Linked DNA regions of Arabidopsis thaliana. Each later gene encodes a partner of the first gene's protein in a complex. Each region holds a gene or a part of one and is shown in the gene's direction. Other genes may lie near its edges.

The links.
Region 2: TAF4B (region 1) and TAF8 share a complex: the UniProt entries of both Arabidopsis thaliana proteins name them as parts of the TFIID complex.
Region 3: TAF4B (region 1) and HAF2 share a complex: the UniProt entries of both Arabidopsis thaliana proteins name them as parts of the TFIID complex.
Region 4: TAF4B (region 1) and HAF01 share a complex: the UniProt entries of both Arabidopsis thaliana proteins name them as parts of the TFIID complex.

What each region holds. Positions count from the first base shown.
Region 1 is NC_003070.9:9,642,201-9,649,132, reverse strand, and holds TAF4B (TBP-associated factor 4B), read left to right. Parts: upstream 1-1,756; coding exon 1,757-1,798; intron 1,799-1,808; exon of another isoform or gene 1,809-1,917; coding exon 1,918-1,984; exon of another isoform or gene 1,985-2,254; coding exon 2,255-2,487; intron 2,488-2,577; coding exon 2,578-2,679; intron 2,680-2,931; coding exon 2,932-2,992; intron 2,993-3,122; coding exon 3,123-3,829; intron 3,830-4,055; coding exon 4,056-4,180; intron 4,181-4,332; coding exon 4,333-4,420; intron 4,421-4,505; coding exon 4,506-4,644; intron 4,645-4,736; coding exon 4,737-4,792; intron 4,793-4,878; coding exon 4,879-4,935; intron 4,936-5,014; coding exon 5,015-5,137; intron 5,138-5,226; coding exon 5,227-5,277; coding exon of another isoform or gene 5,278-5,292; exon of another isoform or gene 5,293-5,361; coding exon 5,362-5,521; intron 5,522-5,630; coding exon 5,631-5,782; downstream 5,783-6,932. Other genes in the region: STZ (salt tolerance zinc finger), read left to right, coding at 148-831; AT1G27710 (Glycine-rich protein family), read right to left, coding at 5,945-6,583. UniProt on the Arabidopsis thaliana protein: TAFs are components of the transcription factor IID (TFIID) complex that is essential for mediating regulation of RNA polymerase transcription.
Region 2 is NC_003075.7:16,425,917-16,430,314, reverse strand, and holds TAF8 (TBP-associated factor 8), read left to right. Parts: upstream 1-2,304; 5' UTR 2,305-2,482; coding exon 2,483-3,544; 3' UTR 3,545-3,676; downstream 3,677-4,398. Other genes in the region: HDR (4-hydroxy-3-methylbut-2-enyl diphosphate reductase), read left to right, coding at 1-11, 110-289, 391-522, 609-683, 753-858, 953-1,047, 1,136-1,321, 1,395-1,481 and 1 more. UniProt on the Arabidopsis thaliana protein: TAFs are components of the transcription factor IID (TFIID) complex that is essential for mediating regulation of RNA polymerase transcription.
Region 3 is NC_003074.8:6,572,257-6,577,556, reverse strand, and holds the start of HAF2 (histone acetyltransferase of the TAFII250 family 2), read left to right. Parts: upstream 1-1,943; 5' UTR 1,944-2,004; coding exon 2,005-2,038; intron 2,039-2,274; coding exon of another isoform or gene 2,275-2,290; coding exon 2,291-2,515; intron 2,516-2,766; coding exon 2,767-2,858; intron 2,859-2,948; coding exon 2,949-3,123; intron 3,124-3,516; coding exon 3,517-4,627; intron 4,628-4,778; coding exon 4,779-4,981; intron 4,982-5,099; coding exon 5,100-5,300. UniProt on the Arabidopsis thaliana protein: TAFs are components of the transcription factor IID (TFIID) complex that is essential for mediating regulation of RNA polymerase transcription. Core scaffold of the TFIID complex.
Region 4 is NC_003070.9:11,853,404-11,858,895, reverse strand, and holds the start of HAF01 (HAC13 protein (HAC13)), read left to right. Parts: upstream 1-2,130; 5' UTR 2,131-2,332; intron 2,333-2,544; 5' UTR 2,545-2,634; coding exon 2,635-2,680; intron 2,681-3,386; coding exon 3,387-3,490; intron 3,491-3,665; coding exon 3,666-3,728; intron 3,729-3,862; coding exon 3,863-3,908; intron 3,909-4,282; coding exon 4,283-4,537; intron 4,538-4,759; coding exon 4,760-4,851; intron 4,852-4,950; coding exon 4,951-5,122; intron 5,123-5,492. Other genes in the region: AT1G32760 (Glutaredoxin family protein), read right to left, coding at 1-645. UniProt on the Arabidopsis thaliana protein: TAFs are components of the transcription factor IID (TFIID) complex that is essential for mediating regulation of RNA polymerase transcription. Core scaffold of the TFIID complex.

The sequences.
Region 1 (6,932 bases):
CCTTCTCCACACTCCACCTACTACTATATATTTACACACACTTTCATTACTTCTTCTTCAGCAATTAAACAATTTCTTCACTGCAATTCACAAGCAACCTTCAAACTAAAACTCGAGAGACAAGAAATCCTCAGAATCTTTAACTTAATGGCGCTCGAGGCTCTTACATCACCAAGATTAGCTTCTCCGATTCCTCCTTTGTTCGAAGATTCTTCAGTCTTCCATGGAGTCGAGCACTGGACAAAGGGTAAGCGATCTAAGAGATCAAGATCCGATTTCCACCACCAAAACCTCACTGAGGAAGAGTATCTAGCTTTTTGCCTCATGCTTCTCGCTCGCGACAACCGTCAGCCTCCTCCTCCTCCGGCGGTGGAGAAGTTGAGCTACAAGTGTAGCGTCTGCGACAAGACGTTCTCTTCTTACCAAGCTCTCGGTGGTCACAAGGCAAGCCACCGTAAGAACTTATCACAGACTCTCTCCGGCGGAGGAGATGATCATTCAACCTCGTCGGCGACAACCACATCCGCCGTGACTACTGGAAGTGGGAAATCACACGTTTGCACCATCTGTAACAAGTCTTTTCCTTCCGGTCAAGCTCTCGGCGGACACAAGCGGTGCCACTACGAAGGAAACAACAACATCAACACTAGTAGCGTGTCCAACTCCGAAGGTGCGGGGTCCACTAGCCACGTTAGCAGTAGCCACCGTGGGTTTGACCTCAACATCCCTCCGATCCCTGAATTCTCGATGGTCAACGGAGACGACGAAGTCATGAGCCCTATGCCGGCGAAGAAGCCTCGGTTTGACTTTCCGGTCAAACTTCAACTTTAAGGAAATTTACTTAGACGATAAGATTTCGTTTGTATACTGTTGAGAGTTGTGTAGGAATTTGTTGACTGTACATACCAAATTGGACTTTGACTGATTCCAATTCTTCTTGTTCTTTCATTTTAAAAATTATTAAACCGATTCTTTACCACATATTTTACAAACGCGTTGAGTCTTTTTTTTATCTGAATAAGCATAAAGTGACACCACTACAACTCTGTTTTTGGTTCTGTTTTTTTCAAAAAATTTATAACACAATTAAGCATAATCAAGAACGTTCTAGTTTCTACTACCATCCACATATTGTTCTTTCTTATATTTTGGAAAGCTCTAAGCAAATAAAAAGAGTTGTGATATCTTACGGAAGACTGCCAAAGAAAACTCAACTTTCATTTTTCTTTTACCAAAAGAATACCGTAACTTTCAATTGAAAAAAGCCTTTCTTGACGGGTCGTTTGTTTTCTTTAGTAGCACTGTTTAATTAACGTAGATAATCCCTTCTTTAATTTGGTGAATTATCTACGGGAAGTCCAAAACTCAATGGTCATAAACGTGTATCAAAATTCATCTAAAAGTTAATTAATTTTTTTTTGCAAAAGTCTGATGCTAATATGAATAACTGTTTAAGAACTCCAACATTATATTCAAGAAAAATAAATTTTGATATACAAGAACAAGCCCAGTTACCGAAAAGAAGAACAGAACGGCGCGCAGTGTTTTATCCAAAAGAAACAACTACCGAAAAGAAGATCAACAGAACGGCGCGCAGTGTTTTATCAAAAAGAAAAAACGACACGGTGTTCTCGCAGAATCTCCCTTTATATAAAAACTTGCGGAATTTGGAATCTTATTGGATACAACAAATCGTTTCCTTGAAAATTCCCTCTTCGTTTTGAGCTATTGACGTTTGGTACCGCGAGATTCCTCCATGGATCTCTCCATTGTCAAGCTCCTCGAAGAAGACGAAGAGGTTAGGTTTCGAATTTCCCACTCTCATTTTCATTTCCGTACTGTCTGCGAAAATCCACGCGCTATCTTGTTCTGTGGACGAAGCTCCTAAATGTCGATTCCCGCTAATCGTGTCGTTAGGTTGACTCTAAGCATTCGGAAGATGACTTGCAAATGTTTCAGGACTCTCTGATTCGAGATATTGAAGGTTCGTTTTGGACCCTAAAATTCATATGCGAAACTGTGGAATGTATCAAAACAGGGAAATGCCTTTAGATTTCTTTAGTGATTTAGGTTCACGAGTCGTATTTTTGTGGTTTGTCATGTATCTTCATGTTTCACTTGATGTTAACTGTTGAATGTTGATGGATGCAATTAGATTGTTAGTTCTTGATGATGCTTTAGTGACGGTTAGTCATAGAAAAATATTAGAGCATACTCATAATTGATTTTGGTGCTTGAACTCATGTGCCCCAAGGAAGTAACTTGAAGTCTATAAACAATACTACTGGTAATGAATCAGAAAAACCGCAACCTCGGTATATGAAACTGCAGAAGATGAGTAGCAAAGAGACTCCTTGGGTGGAAAAGACTGTTGACCCTGTGAATCATAATCTTAGATTAGCACGAGTTACTGATTTGCTTCGTACCGTGGTAGACCACCAACCCGGCAAAAAGACGCATTGTCTTAACCTGCATTATAAACTCAAGGTGTGGCTTTACAGTTTACATCCATGAATGAATTGGCACTCTGATCGAAGTTTCTTAATACATTACGTTTCTTTTCATACTTGATTGCAGAGAAAAGAACTTACAATGGAAGAGTTCATGCGACAACTGAGAGATCTTGTAGGTGATCAGATAATCAGATCGGTAATTAGCCAACTGCCTCAGTTAAAACCGGTATTACCCTTTCCATTTTCTTAGCATTTATAAGTACTTTAATGATTTTCATTTAGCAGCCTCCAAGAGAGTTTCTTGTTTTATATGCTTCCTTCTCTGTATATGAACATGTGCTGAGAAAGAAATCTCACTTCTGAACCTTATTAAAAAGGAAATAACATAAAGAATTCTCACTTTAATAGTATAAGCTGAATACTTCTTGTCTTGGAATTGTGGCTTACTGGTTTCAGAATGAACTGTATGTGTAACCAGGGAAATATGGGGATCAAAGTACCTGGACGCTCAAACCATGACAAAGTGTCTAAATCTGCTGGTATAACTTATTTAGTTGATGCCATTTACTTTTGCAATTATCATAGATCATCTTAACTTTCTGGTAGATCTTATCTTATGATTTCCTTGTAGCATACAAAACTAATCCCAGATACAATCATTAACTGCAGAATTCACTGCTCAAGAATCTGATCCTCGTGAAGTTCATGTTAACCAACTGTCTTCTACAACTTCAGGCACCTTAAACAGTTCAACTACTGTGCAGGGATTAAATAAGCATCCCGAGCAACACATGCAGCTTCCATCAAGTTCTTTTCATATGGATACCAAATCTGGAAGTCTTAATCCATACCCAGGGACAAATGTCACTTCTCCTGGTTCATCATCGAGAGCAAAGCTCCCTGATTTCCAGCATAGGGAAAACAATCAGAATGTGGGAATAGCCAGTGTTGGAGGACCAACCAAGTCTACAATAAACATGACGACAGTACCCAAGTTTGAGAGGCCAACTTTTGTAAATGGTCCAAGTAGGGTTCAGGATGGTCCTATATCCGACTTCCCAAAGAACTCATCCTTTCCTCTATATTCTGCTCCTTGGCAAGGATCAGTCACCAAGGACCATACAGTGGGACCTTCTTCATCAGTGATCCATGTGGAGCATAAATTGATTGATCAAAGTTTTGAACAGGCACATAAACCTCGTTATTTGGTGCAGCAAGGCGTGACTAATGTTCCACTGAAACAGAAGAATGCTATTCCAATTAGTTCAAATGATGACTTGGAGAAGCAGTCTTCTAAAATGGGTTTATTCACATCAACCACTTCTGCCAGCTCTGTTTTTCCTTCAATGACAACACAGCTGGACTCTAGCACGATGGTAACTTATAAATTATACTTTCAAAAGACAGATTTCAATTTGGTTGATCTTCTCTTTAAGCTCATAGGGGGACCATTTCTCTTCAACCGATGTTGCATTTGGTTTCGTTTTGCTTATATTTTGGACCACCCTGGCTTCTATTTCTCCTTGTACTGGCTTCGAACTTTGGTTGTGAAGAGTAAATGGACTATCTATCTTACGTGAAAATTATTTGTGTACACTTCAGGTTAATATGCCTGCCCCATCTGAGACCATTCCCAAGATTGCTAATGTTACGGTGACACCCAAAATGCCTTCTGTTGGTCAGAAGAAACCTCTTGAGGCACTAGGTTCTTCGCTGCCACCATCAAGGTAATGAGCTGGCTGGTTTGTGAAAGATGAACTACTTACAGCGTCCATAAATTACTCTTCCTTTTTTCTTTGCTTTTCTGATAATATCCTTTTTACCTTACTAACAATTTAGAATTGCTAAATTGAAGTCTTATGTATTTTTTAATATACAGAAAGAAGCAAAAAATATGTGGGACTTCTTCAGATGAAAGTATTGAAAAGTTTAATGATGTCACTGCAGTCAGTGGCATCAATCTCAGGGTATGTTTACGAGTTGCTACACTTCTCATTTTGAACCTGGATATAGAGAAACAATAAACCAAATTACTTTCTGCATCTGTTCTAGGAAGAGGAAAAACAATTATTAGATTCTGGTCCTAAAAAGAACGATCGTGTTTCTAAAGCATATCGAAGACTTGTGCATGGAGAGGAAGAAAGAACGCTTTTGCAGAAAATTCCACTGCAGAGAAAGCTGACAGAAATTAGTTTGTGTTTCAACTCGTATCTTAGCTGCTTCTTTGGTCCTTACTTGGAATCACTTGGAGAAGAAGTTTATGTATGCTTTCATATATGACAGTGGGAAAAAGTGGTTTAAAGCATATAGACCATGATGTAGAGCGGTGCTTGTCTCTGGTGAGATGTTAACACCTTTTCTTGGAATTATTAGCCTTCAATTTCCTGTTTTTGTTTTCGTTTTTCTCATGGCTTTGCGCATTCAGTGTGTGGAGGAGAGGATGCGAGGACTACTGTTTAATATAATACGAATATCAAAGCAGGTCAGTCTACTTTCTCTTCTCATGCCTCCTTAGATCTTGTTGTACCTAAATCTTTCTGAAGTTACAAGAGCTTTTGCAGCGGACTGATGCAGAGAAGTGTAGAAATCGGACTTTTATCACATCTGATATCCGGAAAGAAATTAATGAAATGAATCAGAAGGTGAAAGAGGAATGGGAAAAGAAACATTCTGGAGAAGAAAAGGTAATGGTTTGTCCTGAGCTTAATATCTATTTGTCTTAGTTATCAGTAGTAATGTCTAGTTTTTTTTTTTTGTATATTCATTGATGTAGAACAAAGAAAATGATACTGAAAAAGAAGACCAACGTTCAAACGAAGTGAAGGTATTTAGAACTTGAGCCAACTACCTAAACCTTTGGAGATATACACATACGTACACTGAAAGAGGTTTATTGATCACAAGTCAGGCAAATAAGAAGGACGAAGATAAAGAGAGAGCCAAGGCTGCAAATGTTGCTGTTCGTGCAGCCGTTGGAGGAGATGATAGGTTTTCAAAATGGAAACTTATGGCTGAAGCACGTCAGAGATCTTCTCCAGGGCCAGGAAGAAACTCCAAGAAACTTTCTGGTAAGATTGGTAATCCCGTTTCTATGATCTGAAAGAGTAAATCTCTCAGTTCTGTTGCTGGTTATTCTTGTGTTTCGTGCTCCTAATTGCATATTCGAACTTTATGTAGGTGGTACACAATTTGGGAAGAACCAAGGTTTACCAAAAGTAGTCCGGTCAATCTCTGTGAAGGATGTGATCGCTGTGGTGGAAAAGGAGCCTCAGATGTCAAGATCGACGCTATTGTATCGCGTATACAATAGAATCTGCTCGGATGTTTGAAACCAAGAAAAGACATAGGACCAATTCTTTATTTTTTTTTGTAGAAAGGTTCTTATTCCATTAAAACTAATGCCATTACAAACTCCTAAACATGATCAAGATGCTAAAGTACATCCTTATTTCTTCTTCCTTTCACTACCTAAAGCAAGCTGCATGTTTTTTCTAGTTTTTGCCTGATCCCTTCGTGCTGACTCCGCCGTGTCCATATCCTCCTCCACCACCACCGCCTCCGCTGCATGAACCTCCGCATCCTCCACCACCACCGCCAATGATGACTCCACCACCAATACCTCCTCCACCACCAATACCTCCTCCACCTGACCCGTATCCTGGACCACCACCTCCGTTGCCTCCATCCCAACCCAAACCACCACCTGAACCATACCCGGCACCTCCACCAAATCCACCACCGATTACAACACCACCACCGCCGCCACCTGGACCGTATCCACCACCACCATATCCCGGGCCTCCACCGCCGTAGCCACCAGCTGTGAGTTCACCCTTAAATCCGGTTACGTGTCGGATACTCTTTCCAATCTCACTGGAGTGTGCTTCATTCCTCATGAGCTTACTCTCTCTTCCAATCTCACTCGAGCGTGCTTTATTCCTCATGGACGCACTTTCTCTTCCAATCTCAGTGGAGTGTTTTTCATTCCTCATGAGCTTACTTTCTCTTCCAATCCCACTGGAGTGTGCTTCCTTCCTCATGGAGGCACCTTCTCTTGCAGCCTCGGCAATCATATGACCGATGAGACAAAGATACGAGGAAACAAGAAACCACAAGATCACTCTAGCCATGATGGCTGCTTAGTGACACAATTTGTTTGCTTAGAATCTGAAAAAGGAAGTAAAAGGACTTGTGTGTTTGAATAATACACAGCCACAAACACACACCACTATTTATATATCTTGGGACATAATACAACGGTGATGGTTGGCATGGGCGTGCCAGTAGAGAGAGAGAGAGGTGCATATATGGTGACTCACCAGAAAGGTGTAACAGGTGATGGTTCTCATTCGCATGATTTTTCCCACACTTTTTGCTGCATTTTTTCATTATTATTCATTTTGCAGTCTCAAGTTTTTTCTTAAATAAAAGAAAACAAGGAGTGACTCGTGTACCAATCCATTGATCTGATTTGAACAT
Region 2 (4,398 bases), on another chromosome or scaffold:
CCGTCAATAAGGTATGTCGTCACTATACTCAGTAACCTTACTGTAAACATAGCTAGATGCTTTTGCTTTGTGGCCAATCAGTGTAGTTGAATTGCATGGAACATTGCAGAGGTTGGAAGATATGGATGTTAAAATTATTCCGGTTGAGGATTCAAAGAAACAGTTTGATGTAGTAGAGAAAGATGATGTGGTTATCCTTCCTGCGTTTGGAGCTGGTGTTGACGAGATGTATGTTCTTAATGATAAAAAGGTGCAAATTGTTGACACGACTTGTCCTTGGGTGACAAAGGTACATTCCTCCTGTGGCCATAAATCCGTAATATTGTTTCTCGCATTCATCTCTAGCATAGGTTATTGATATCTTCCTTTTTGACATTTGTGACTCTAAAGGTCTGGAACACGGTTGAGAAGCACAAGAAGGGGGAATACACATCAGTAATCCATGGTAAATATAATCATGAAGAGACGATTGCAACTGCGTCTTTTGCAGGAAAGTACATCATTGTAAAGAACATGAAAGAGGTGTGACTTTTATATTGTCAAACTTTGGATATCCATAGAATTTTGCAAGATGTGTTACTGATGGGGTACCTTATTACTGAGCACAGGCAAATTACGTTTGTGATTACATTCTCGGTGGCCAATACGATGGATCTAGCTCCACAAAAGAGGAGTTCATGGAGGTATGTAAGCTTATTTTGCTAATTCTTTGTATCATTCTGGTTTTTCTAATCTCTATGTTGGCGTTGTAGAAATTCAAATACGCAATTTCGAAGGGTTTCGATCCCGACAATGACCTTGTCAAAGTTGGTATTGCAAACCAAACAACGATGCTAAAGGGAGAAACAGAGGAGATAGGTTAGTTACTCTACCGTTTTTTTACATGACAATCGTCTTTTATCCTTGGAAACAAAAACACCTTAGTTTGAGTCTCATGCCAAAAACCCCACAGGAAGATTACTCGAGACAACAATGATGCGCAAGTATGGAGTGGAAAATGTAAGCGGACATTTCATCAGCTTCAACACAATATGCGACGCTACTCAAGTAAAATTCCCATACCTCAAAAACCATGCATCTAGACAAGTTTTACACTTGAGGAAGTGTTTATTCATCAATACTATAATCTCTTCAGGAGCGACAAGACGCAATCTATGAGCTAGTGGAAGAGAAGATTGACCTCATGCTAGTGGTTGGCGGATGGAATTCAAGTAACACCTCTCACCTTCAGGAAATCTCAGAGGCACGGGGAATCCCATCTTACTGGATCGATAGTGAGAAACGGATAGGACCTGGGAATAAAATAGCCTATAAGCTCCACGTAAGCGCATTTCAAAACTAACTTACTCCTTACCAAACTGCATTCACTGATTTTTTCTATTTTACATTGATAGTATGGAGAACTGGTCGAGAAGGAAAACTTTCTCCCAAAGGGACCAATAACAATCGGTGTGACATCAGGTGCATCAACCCCGGATAAGGTATATATATATTTGCAGCTATATTTTTGTTTGGTTCTCTTGTTTCCCACACGAACATGAGTGAAAATATTTGTGAAAAAATTACAGGTCGTGGAAGATGCTTTGGTGAAGGTGTTCGACATTAAACGTGAAGAGTTATTGCAGCTGGCTTGATTCGGCATTGTGATCGTATTCAAATACTATTTGTCATGTCAAGAGTGTACTAAAATATATGTAGTTGTATGATTTGTCTTTATAACTTTTGTAAGAGGTTTTGTAATTCAAAGTCAACATCCTCGTTATCTTACTCCACTTAATGTTCTTACCATAATCGCAATTAGACTGATATAGAACTTGAGACTGTGTAAGGCTGTCATTATCGAGAAGTTGTCACTAAAACAACTAGGTTATGAATCTCCGCGGTATCGGGAAAGAACTCATTTTCAACAAATCGAGCCACAAGAGTTTCTAAAATAGTTTAATGTAACGAAACTCGGGAAGTTGTCAAGAGTTCTCCCGCGATATTTCGTTATGTTTGGAAAATTTTCAAAACAATGTAATGAAATATCGCGGAGAACTCATTTTCAACAGAATCACTCATCCGAATTTCTAAAATAGCTTCATAAATTTTTACGAAATACCGCAGAAAAACTTATTTTCAACAAAATCAGCCACGCCAATTTCTTATAAAATTTTCCAATAATTTTTTGGGTTATGATTACTACAATTTACATTTGTTTAATTTTAAACCAAAATTTTGGTCTAAAAAAAAAAAAAAAAGTTGGTAGTTAATTTTGGGGTTGGAGCTCTATATAAGCGAGAGATGGCAGGATTCTCAAGACGCATTTCTCTCTGTCTCTCTTTCTCTCTTCATATTTCCCGGTGCTTCGTCGACGTTAGGTCTTTTCCGTTGACGGAGGCAAATTTCTTCGATTCTCTTTAAACCGGCGGTCCATGTGGTCTTACCGACGAGAAAACCCTAATTTCAGGGATTAGATAGCTTTTTGAAACAAATTAGAGCAATGAACACAGAGAGAGCTCAAGAAGGTGATAGGAACGATGCCGCATCTTCCTCTGGCTGCTCCGAGTCCTACGAGTTTAGCCACGCAGCCGCTAAAGCTGCAGTAGCTCAGGTCTGCGAGAGCGTTGGGTACGAGAATTTCAAGGATCCAGCTCTCGAATCTCTATCTGGATTCGCACTCCAGTACATTCTTCAGCTAGGTAAAACCGCTACTTCCTTCGCTAATCTAACTGGTAGGAGTCAGTGTAACGTGTTCGATATCATTCTCGCTTTGGATGATTTGACTGATAACAATGGCGAACAAGGAATTTCGTCTGAGAGTTGTTCATTAGGTCGTTCGATTAAACTTAGGGAGATTATCGATTTCGTTAATTCGAGTGAAGAAGTCCCTTTCTCGCAGCCATTGCCAAGTTTTCCTGTAGCTATAAGTGATAGGAGTAGGAAGATGATCCCAAGCTTTGTTGAAATTGGTGAAACTCCACCTGGGAAACATATTCCTTTGTGGCTACCAGCTTTTCCTGATCCTCATACTTATAAGGAAACCCCTATGTGGATCGAAAGAGTATCAGATCCAAGGGGAGATAAGATTGAACAAGCGAGGCAGAGACGAAAGGCTGAGAGAGCTTTGTTGAGTTTGCAGAGGAAACTTGTTTGTAAAATCTCCTCAAGGAATCCTGTGTGGGGAGATATGGATGGTGTGAAAGAAGAAATGAGAGATGATGAGAGTGAACTGCGTTCTGTATCGTCCGGGGAGAAAGTCGAATCATTGAATAGAGATGGCTTATCAGTGATAGAGGCATTTGCTCCTGCTATGGAGGCTGCAAGAGATGGGTTTTCTAGTGAAGCTCACACTGAATGGAAGAAGAATAAACCTGTTGCTCTTTCTAAGCTCAGAACCGAGAAGAAATTTCTCGGACAACCTTTGGATCTAAGTCTACAGATGAAGGGTGAAGATAGACCCATATCCTTTGTGCGTGAGGAGGATAGAGATGACAAAAGAAGAAGAGCGGAGTTCATTTTGAGACAGTGTATGGAGAACCCAGTAGACCTCAATCAGTTGTAAAATAAGTGATTCATTACAGTCTGTGTAGCGTACTATTAATCTTGTGATTTGTAACCTTTCTTTATACAGGCCTATGTTATGATTATGATTTTGTGACTGAAAGAATGAGAATTTCTAACCTATCTTTTAGGCAATTGATATGATGTCTTTCTCATGAGATTCTTGTTACATAACTTAATGTTAGTTTCAGTTTCATGTCTCATGAGTGGGAGCCAGGGACCAGTGTGGAAGGAGTTTAGTCTTGTATCATTGCTATATTTCCAAACCAAGTCAAGTGGTCTGAGGTAAGTATATTTTCTTTGGTCGACATGTGTTTTGCTTCGTGATGTTTATGGGGTGTGAAACATATCACTGTATCAGAATTAAGATTATGTTATGTCAATTAGTTGAGAGCTCGAGGTTAGAAAGGAAAGCTAGGTTATTGAGTTGGGGCCTTGTGGATTAATGTAGGATTTTGCTTTGGACACTGGGCGATAGATAAGAGACTTACTTCTCTCGTTAATCAAGCCTCTTAAGAGTTTACGAGAACTGAATCCTATCACAGTTCCTTTAACTAACACCCCTAGTTTTCAGATTCCATACTTATGATTTAGTTTTTCGTCTATTAGCCCACCACTCTGATATCAGTATATATAGACTCCTGGCAGAACCATCATTTTGATAGTCTCAAATGTGAAAGTCTTGTCTCCCATTGTTTTCAATCATCAAAGAATACAGAAAATGCAACAATCATCATAAACAGTTTGAGTTATTGGACTTTGATAGGTATATACATTCAGAAAGAATCTGTACTATTATTATTTATTGTCTTTGAGCATTTCATCATTTGTAGCAAGAACCTGAAGATGAGAGAA
Region 3 (5,300 bases), on another chromosome or scaffold:
CATTTTAATTCGAATTATCTCGCCTCGTGATTAAAATATATATTTCCTAGCGGCTTATGTCAAAGTTCGAGATAAAATAAAAAAAATAGACTAATTTTGCGTAGGATTTGGTTTGGTTTGGGTCTGTTACTATAAGAATGAAATAAAGAGACTATACAATATACACCGTAACAAGTATATCCTTTAATTTTGTCATATGACAATTATTGTTCTTCTTTTTCTTTTTGGACATGGATAATTATATTTTGTTTCATTTTGGTAAATTAGGGTCCTGTTCGTTTGCCTGTGTTCGTTTGCTTGTCTGTGTTCGTTTGCCTGTCGCTGACGACTGAAACCAGCGACAACGACCAAAAGTTGTTTGTTTGCATAGCGATCAAAAGTAACGACAATCGCCAGCGACCAGCGACCGCAATTTTTGGTCGCTGAAATTTTTAGCGATCAGTCGCTGATTTCAGCGATTAGTCGCTGGTTTTAGTCGCTGGATCCAACGACATGCAAACGAACAATTTAGCGATCAAAAAATATAAATTAAAGAATAATTAAAAATAATTAAATTAAACAGAATTAAATTAAATTAAACTTAAAATAAATGTCTTTTTGCACTCTGAACGGTTGTGTCTTTTAATCGCAACTTTCCGTAAAAAATATTGATGGTTGTTTTTTCTCGCTTGTGTCTTTTATTGCAACCTTCCTATATTGTAATTTTCTGTCAAAATATTTACAGTTATTTTTTCCGGTTAGTTATATATATACTATTGAATAACTACGAAATTTAGAATATGCATCATTTGGAGTTAGATTTGTTTTAAAGAAATTATTATATAAATAAATTTATAATATTTTTCTCTGCGATATCAAGAAAGGTTTGAGTTCTAGTTTAATTAAAATAATTCTTATTAAATTAAGTTAAAATAAATTAAATTCAAATAACATAAACTAATTATAGTCAAATTAAATTTGATAAAACTAAAATAAATAAATCTATTAATTTATTTTTCTCATGGTGTATGATATATATGATTTACATTTTGATTTTAAAATATAAATTAGTACCAAAAATAATTAATTTTAAAAAAAAATATAGCGACTGTTTATAGCGACAGTCAAACGAACAACACAACGACAATTATTAGCGATTGTTGATGTAATTGGTCGCTGAGTCCAGCGACAGACAATCGAACAATATATGTTGTCGCTGGTTGCTGTCGCTGGTCGTTGGTCGCTGTCGCTGGATCCAGCGACAGGAAAACGAACAGGGCATAGGTTTTGTTTGTTTTATTTAGTATTTCTAACGTAAATTTTAAAAAAGCGCCAAAATCTAGAAGAAGAGTAATATGCGAGAAAATCACTTTTACTCTTATTTATTTACTTGTCTTGCCAAATTTCCATCAAAATTATTAATTACTTAATTATATAATTTTTGACTAATTATTTACTTTATTGGACCCGGGATATGTAACTAAATGGGCTTTTATTGGGCTGTATTCTGTGGACCATTAATAAACATAATCTTTGAAGTGCAAAAAAAAAAATGGGACCCGGGACAACTAAATCAGAATCGGGGCGGGTTATAAACTTTTCCCTATAAATTACCACTCCGATGTTAATACCCGCCTCTTTGATCCCTCAGACGATTTCTTCTTTCCGTTGTATCTTCCAATCACCCGATTGAGCTCCGCTTCACTTCCTCCGGCTAAATGTGTACATACTCTCAATTAGGAAACCGCCAATCCCACATAACGTTGAATGTCGTCGTCTCGGTTAGATATCAACGAGGGTTTTGTTCTTGGTTCCTTACTAAACAACAAAATTTGACGAAAATTGGTACTTGGGTATGAACGTTGTTATTCCCTAATTGTACCGGAAAATTTGATGGTGGTATGTTTCCCTTGTAGGTTTTCGTTGAGTCGTGGATTTGTTCTTGCTCCTGATTCTTTTCAGTAGTTCCTTTGCTATTTGGGAAGCAAAATTGTCACGCCACTCTTTGCATTCGAGGGTTTTATTATGTCTGAGTCCAACGACAACGAGACTTCCGCAGGTTATATTTGCAGTTTCTTACATGGTTTCTTCATTAGTGTATTGCATTCTCCTAGTTTTGCTCTAGTCATAATCTACTTATTGTGGGATAATTTATTGCTCAGCGTTTTGAGTTAATTAAATAGAAGGTTTTTATGTTTGAGATTTTGATATACGCAACAAGTCCCACCCATAGCAGTTACAAACTGAAACTATTTGCCACTACCAATTCCCGGTCATCAGCTTCACTGACTTGTGATGATATGTCGTGTAGATTATGGGAGCAATGATGAAGAGTATGATGGGCCTGAGCTTCAAGTAGTTACTGAGGAAGATCACCTACTACCAAAAAGAGAGTACTTATCAGCTGCATTTGCTTTGAGTGGTTTAAATTCCAGAGCTTCTGTGTTTGACGACGAAGATTATGATGAACAAGGAGGACAAGAGAAGGAACATGTACCAGTTGAGAAATCTTTTGATTCAGAAGAGAGGGAACCAGGTTTGCTTTTGAAATTTCCGTTTCTTGAACAAAACGATTAGCACACTCTATTCTCTACTTTTGTTTTGTCATTTCATTAATCTCAGATTGGTTTAGTTTTCTCAACACTTATACTTGTTTAGCTCGGGAAAATAATCTCTTGTTAAGTTGGAGTCCAGTGCGTCATAAATACTAGAGATCAGAACTCTTGGAACTTTTCTTAGATTCCTTTTGTGTTAGTGATTATGAGACACTAAACATTATTTTCGCAGTTGTCTTGAAGGAGGAAAAGCCCGTAAAGCATGAAAAGGAGGCTAGCATCTTGGGAAATAAGAATCAGATGGACACAGGAGATGTCCAGGAGGTCAGCAAGAATGATTTCGGTGTCTCAGATAACATCTTTTTTTGTTGTGGAATGATTTTGTTCTGTTAGTGATCTCATTGAAACGTTCAGGAGTTGGTGGTTGGATTATCAGAAGCTACTTTGGATGAGAAACGTGTCACCCCGCTGCCTACGTTATATCTTGAAGATGATGGTATGGTCATCTTACAATTCTCTGAGATATTTGCTATACAAGAGCCACAGAAGAAACGGCAGAAGAGAGAAATTAGATGTATCACTTATAGAGGTATGTGATCTGCAACGGCTTCCTAATTTTGTTTATTCTCAAAAGCCTTTGAATTTTTTGTGCTTTCCATTGGGATGTTAAAATCTACAACAACAATGATTTCTCAAGATTTTCAGTATCTCCCGTTCAATTCTAAAAGCCATTAGGTGTCGAAAGCATGAGAAGTTTTTTGTATGTGGCTCTGTCTTTTCTTGGCAAGAATTTAGTAGATATGTATATTTGGTGCTTCTGAAATGATATACATTATTTTCTCTGTTTCTCTCGTTATCTCTCTGCATTGTTCTTTTCTGTTTGTAATTCATCACTTCTTTTAATGTAACTAGAATAGCTGAGAAAGTTCTATGAAAACAATTATCATATGAGACTCTTACATCATAGCCTTCTTTGGTACAGACAAATACATATCTATGGATATTTCTGAGCTTATCGAAGACGATGAGGAGGTACTCCTGAAGAGCCATGGTAGGATTGACACTCATGGGAAAAAAACTGATCAAATTCAGCTGGATGTTCCCTTACCAATCAGAGAGCGTTCACAGCTGGTAAAATCTGGCATAGTAAGGGATACTACATCAGAATCGAGAGAGTTTACCAAGCTAGGAAGGGATTCATGTATCATGGGTGAACTGTTGAAGCAGGACTTAAAAGACGATAATTCATCTCTCTGTCAGTCTCAATTAACAATGGAAGTTTTCCCTCTAGACCAGCAAGAATGGGAACATCTAATACTCTGGGAAATTTCTCCTCAATTTAGTGCTAATTGTTGTGAGGGCTTCAAATCTGGACTTGAGTCAGCAGGTATAATGGTACAGGTGAGGGCTTCAAATTCAGTGACTGAACAAGAAAGCTTAAATGTGATGAACTCTGGAGGGCAAACTCAAGGGGACAATAACAACATGCTCGAGCCTTTTTTTGTAAATCCGTTGGAGTCTTTTGGCTCAAGAGGTTCCCAGTCTACAAATGAGTCCACTAACAAAAGTAGACATCATCCACAACTCCTTAGATTAGAATCTCAGTGGGATGAGGATCATTATAGGGAAAATGGCGATGCTGGACGGGAGAATTTAAAGCAGCTTAATAGTGACGCTCGTGGGCGCTTGAGTGGACTTGCATTGCAAGATAGGGATATGTGGGATGAGTCATGGTTAGATAGCATAATATGGGAGTCAGATAAAGATTTGAGCAGGTCTAAACTAATATTTGATCTTCAAGATGAGCAAATGATCTTTGAAGTTCCGAACAATAAGGAAAGAAAATATCTTCAACTTCATGCTGGATCTAGGATTGTATCTCGATCTTCAAAATCCAAGGACGGATCCTTTCAAGAAGGCTGTGGATCAAATTCTGGGTGGCAATTCAATATTTCTAATGACAAATTCTATATGAATGGGAAAAGCGCTCAGAAACTGCAAGGAAATGCTAAGAAATCTACCGTACACAGTTTGAGAGTTTTCCATTCGGCACCAGCGATTAAATTGCAGACGATGAAGATCAAATTGAGCAAGTAAGTGAGTCATTTGAATTTTTACATCTTATTGTATTTGTACGCTTCATTGTTACATTCGTGTGTGGTCTCAATGTTGCCACTGGATATATTTTTTAAATACATTTTTTTAGTGGTTTATGTTAAAAAGTTTTGATTTAACTCATTGCAGTAAAGAGAGAGCAAATTTTCACCGGCCCAAAGCTCTGTGGTATCCACATGACAATGAGCTAGCCATAAAGCAGCAAAAAATTTTACCCACCCAAGGTTCCATGACAATTGTTGTTAAGAGTCTGGGGGGTAAAGGATCACTGCTAACCGTCGGCAGAGAGGAATCTGTCTCTTCTTTAAAAGCCAAGGCTTCTAGAAAGCTAGGTTGTTTGTTTTCCTTTCATTTTTTGTCTACCCCATTATGACATGGATTCTATTTGGAGAACATGCTGTACTATTCACTTGCAAATCTTAGAGCTCATTTGCTACAATTGTGTTGCAGATTTTAAGGAAACAGAAGCAGTGAAGATGTTTTATATGGGGAAGGAACTTGAGGATGAAAAGTCTCTTGCTGAACAAAATGTTCAACCCAATTCCCTTGTCCATCTTTTACGTACTAAGGTGCATCTGTGGCCATGGGCACAAAAGCTTCCTGGCGAAAATAAATCTTTACGACCTCCTGGGGCTTTCAAGAAGAAATCTG
Region 4 (5,492 bases), 2.2 Mb from region 1:
TACCGCCATTAGATTGGATAACTCTTCTCTAAATCCTCTATCCATTGACACATCTCTCTCACAAACCACTACACCAAAACTCTCAATCGCAGCTCTCACGGCGTTACACGCCTCAAACGTCCGTCGAACACCGCGCAACGACGTCGTATAAATCACAACGCGATTCTCTCCGCCGTCACATAACCTCTCAGATTCCTCCGCTAATTTCGGATCTAACGGTTTCAAAACCTCGTAATCGTTAGGGTTTTTCAAATTAGGATCGGAGTTCTCTTTCTTTAATCCGCCGGAAAATCCATTACATTTCACCGGAATCGGAGAGAATCGACAAGTATCGCCGTCTAAACCTGACATTAGCTCCCAGAAGTTAATAACCTCCGTCGTCGGCTCAGACTTAACCATCATCATCGCCGCCTCCTTACCGTTGATAGTGAATCTCTCAGGCGGAGTCATTGGCGTGATAACGGATTTGGCGGAGGAGGAGGAGGAAGGAGACGGAGGAGAAGGTGAAGAAGAGTCGAGATTGAGAAGACCGTAAGTGGTGGAAGTTAGCTTGACGAAATGTTGGCTTAAGGAGGAGCTGGTGAGGTGAGAGAAGCTGCTGTCATCGGTCGGAGTAAGGAGGTTGGAGGAGACGCAACCACCCATCGCCGGAGATTTCGAGGATTAAGCAACGTCGGAGAAAAAATGAATCACGGAGATTGAGTGAAAGAGAGACGGTGAAGTGAGATTAAAGACAAAATAACATAAAACTGCTAATTAGATAAAACTTGTTTATATAAATACAATTTTTCTAAAGTTGGGAAGTGACAATGCACGTGGCTTTGGTGTTCTTTTTAATCCATATTTTTCGTTGAATAAAGAATTCTTTTTTCTTAACAAAATATTTGAGATATTTGTTTTGTTTGATTTTACGTTAATAAAAAAGAGAAAATACAAGGCTTAATTTTAGAACTAGGATTTAGAATCAGGACCACTATTTGGTTGGAGTATAAGGAACAGAAATTGATTTTGATAATTTCGTTAGAAGGAGATAGAGACATTTAACAAGTCAACAAAGTTCATGATGGTTATGGTAAAAATAAAAATAAATTCCTTGTTTAGGTTAAACTAAATAAAGAAAAAATTGCTTGTTGAGGTACATTTGAAAATGTTGAGGTACAATTGTTGAATGGATAATGAATTTTATAAAATCTAATAAGGTAATATTGAATCAATGATTTGGTATGATTATACCATGTTCTTCTTGTATTGGTCGTTGCGATTAAATTTGATGACTAAAAATTAAAGAACGAAATGAGAAATAAATGGCATAATTTATTATAAAATTCGTTGCTGGTTGTTCAAAACTGACAATGGAAGAAAAGCTGGATTATGTTCATTTAGGCCGCTATATTTTTCACGACTCCTACGTTGTTAGATCAATATCTCTATTTTTTCCAACGACACTTCTATTTTTTCAGCGACATCTCCGATCTGTCTATATGGATCATTTTACTTTATTTTTTTTAACGGCTACTGCCGTTTTACTTCGTCATAGTTACCGACGCAGTGGTCCATAAAATAAAAGAACCTATATATTTTCTTAATATCCATTTTTATTCAATCTGGTTTTATTTAATATTAAATTTTTTTATATAATTAAAATCAACATGTTATTGATTTTTATATATGTACAAGGTATGCAATAAAGAGTTTCACATCCGATGTTATTCGATGAAAAAAATAAAACTATCAATTAAACTTGTGTGCCTTAAATTTGGATATTAGAATGTTAGTCGATCGAAAAAATAAAATTAAAGTGATTAAAATATTATTAAAAATTGAAAATTTAAATGTAGAACTATAACAGTTATGTTTTTATAATACTTTTAAAATTCAATTTTCTTTTGCAATTTTGGTAGAAAGATATTTTAAAGAAATATCATAGGTATATATCTATTAAATTCGTAAAATTACCACTGATTAAACAACAACAAAAATTACTTCAGAACCGACTCTATTTCTGCTTAACCACCTCCATACCAAACAACGAAATTGATTTTTCCTGGTTAAGAAATTAGACCCGGACTCAAACTTTATTCGGGTCGGGTTATAAAACTTTTATAAATGCCCTCACAATCTTGTCTTGGTCGCTTCGCAATTTTCTTCTTTTTTTTGTTATTACTTTTTTTTTTCCTCCGATTTGAGAGTTTGCTTACCTCGGAACTTCTCTCCGACATCGTACCGTCTCGTCCGATTGAGCTGGTTTACCTTTCCGGCGAAGCTTACTTGTACCCTCAATTAGGGTTTCAAGAAAGAACCCTCCAATCCAACAATCTCGTATCAGTGAATGGTATCGTATCGTCTTCTTCAATTTTATCCAATGCTTTGATTGCAACTCAGCTTAACTCGAAAATTGATCAATGGGGTTTCGATTTGGTTGTGATTTTAAAGCCAAATTGAGACTCTTTTGATGAAGTTTCAGATAAAGAAGTTAGCTTTTTTTGTTTCCAGGTCCGTTTAGGTTGGCTTGTAATTGTGTAGTTTTTTTTGTTTCTTTTGAAGGTTTTGATTGAGTTTTAATGGTTGGGGATTTGGGAAGGACAATTGCCTTGTCGTCTCCCGATTGTCACCATTGTAGTTAAATCTTTGAATATGGCTGAATCCAATGGCAAGGGTTCCCACAACGAGACTTCCTCAGGTATATATATGTTGCTTTCTTTATCAAAGTTTGTTGCTTTTCTTTTTTCCGGTCCAGTCCATTGTCGACATGATTTCTGAAACTGGAGATGCCCCTGTCTAGCTTATGATTGTTCTACGGTTTTGAATATTTCGGATTAAGTCTCTTTAAGTAGAAAAGGAACAGCCTTGAGTGATTCTGAGTATTGGTTTGTAGGATCTTAATTGACAAAGAGATTGGAAATATTAGGTTGTGGAATTTTGGATTACTACAGTTTGTGAAACTAGAGATGTCCCTGTCTAGCTAGTGTTTGGTGCATTTAGGCTAGCTCATGACCGATTTACGGTTTTGAATATTTTGGATTTCTTTAAGTAGAAAAGGAGCAGTCTTGAGTGATCCTGGACATGTTCTAGGGTATAGTTAAGATTATTTTTTCTAAATTTCTAGAGGGAATTGAGTTTGTAGGATCTTAGATGACGAAGAGAATGGGAATAGTAGTTTCACTAGATGGAGGCTACTGTAGCCTGATAAGATGATGGAGAGGAATCCAATGATTATGTGACCTTGGATTTAGCAGTTTAACAAGAGTGTTAACATGCAATCTTTGTGATTTCTGAATACTCGTGATGATAATCAGTTATCACATGCATTCCCATTTTACACCAATATTTTACATGTCTGCCAAGATTTGTTTGGTGAACACCAATATTTTACATGTCTGCTGCAGATGACGATGATGAATATGAGGACAACAGCAGGGGTTTTAACCTTGGATTCATCTTTGGAAATGTTGATAACTCTGGGGACTTGGACGCTGATTACCTTGATGAGGTAATCTGTTTTACGCTTTCAGTATGATGACCTTGTTGAACACATTATTTTCATTATCGGTCTCAGTTTTTCTGTCTATTCTCTCTGGACTTAGGATATATGTATTTTATTAACTATGAGTTGCAAATTCTCCACCAAGCATACCTGTGCCAATGCTAACATTTAAACTTTTCAGGACGCCAAAGAACATCTTTCTGCATTGGCAGATAAGCTGGGTTCATCTCTACCAGATATAAATGTAACGTTCTACACACTCTTTAATATTTTATCTTCTAAAGTTTATAGACGAGTGAACTGCGAGTCTTTTATGTGGTTTTTAATCCTCTTTTTCTTGTACTGGGATGCCAATAATGGTGTTTCTAAACTCAACAGTTATTGGCAAAATCAGAACGTACAGCAAGTGATCCAGCTGAGCAAGGTGATGTTGTCTGCCAGGGTCGTCTATCTTATGCAGTTTTTATTGTTCATTTAACTTCTAGTTTTCATTCTACCGTTTCTTTAAACCATACTGGAGTAGCTTCTAGGAAACCTGCTAGAAAGTTTTTCTCCCAGTGAATGTTTCCATCACAATGGTCTTGCACTCTTCTTACTTTCGTTGTAGTCATAATCCAATTATTATTGGATTGTTTAAGAAAGTGTCTTGCGTAATTTATATGCATAAACATTTTAACTACTCACGTTTACAATCTTTAAATATGCAACATTCCTGCCCGTAGCATTTACATACTGACACTATTTACACTACCAAATCCTGGTCATCAGCGTCATTGACTGTGGTGATATGTTGTGTAGATTATGATAGAAAAGCTGAGGATGCTGTTGATTATGAGGATATTGATGAAGAGTACGATGGGCCCGAAGTTCAAGTAGTCAGTGAGGAAGATCATCTACTGCCAAAAAAGGAGTATTTTTCGACTGCAGTTGCTTTGGGTAGTTTAAAGTCCAGAGCTTCTGTGTTTGATGATGAAGATTATGACGAGGAAGAAGAACAAGAGGAGGAGCAAGCGCCAGTTGAAAAATCTCTTGAAACTGAAAAGAGGGAACCAGGTTTGCATTTCGAAATTTCCGTTTCTTGAACAAAACAATTATCCCATAGTAAAGTGTACTTTTGTTGTGTTATCTCATCACTCAAATTGGTTTTGTTAAGTCATTCTTCCTGTAATTATACTTGTTGAGCTCAGGCAAATGATTACTTGCAAAGCTGTAGTCTAGTGTGATTTAAGTCCTTGAGAATATAAACTTAACAAGACAAAAAAAATTGCGTTGCAGTTGTCTTAAAGGAAGACAAGGCCTTGGAGTATGAAGAGGAGGCTAGCATCTTGGATAAAGAGGATCATATGGACACCGAAGATGTCCAGGAGGTCAGTTTCCCCTCAAAATAAAGGGAAATTGTGTCTCAAATAACATATTTTTGCTGTGGGATGATTTTGTTATGTTAGTGATCTCATCAAAACATTCAGGAGGAGGTGGATGAGTTATTGGAAGGTACATTGGATGACAAAGGCGCCACCCCACTGCCTACGTTGTATGTGGAAGATGGTATGGTTATCTTACAGTTCTCCGAGATATTTGCTATCCATGAGCCTCCACAGAAACGGGATAGGAGAGAAAATAGATATGTCACTTGTAGAGGTATGTGATCTGGAATGTTCTTCCTCTTTTTGTTTCTTCTCGAACCCTATTGAGTTTTTTTGGTGCTGTCCATCAAAAAACGTTTCTCCATTTTTTATTTCCCTTTCAATTCTAAAGGGCTAAGTGTTGAAACAAAAAGACCTTTTCCTTTTATGCGGCTCAGTCTCTTTTTGGCAAGAATGTGCTAGATCTGTGTATTCGATGCCACAAATATGAAGTGATTCATTCTATTTAATTTTCCAGGCAAATTCCATGTTTTGTCCAATTTTCTCCTTTTCTTATCGTTTCTGTTGTCTCAGCATTCCTTTTTTTTTTTTTTTTGTAATTCACTTCTTCATGTGGAACTCTTACATCATAGACTTCTTTCGTA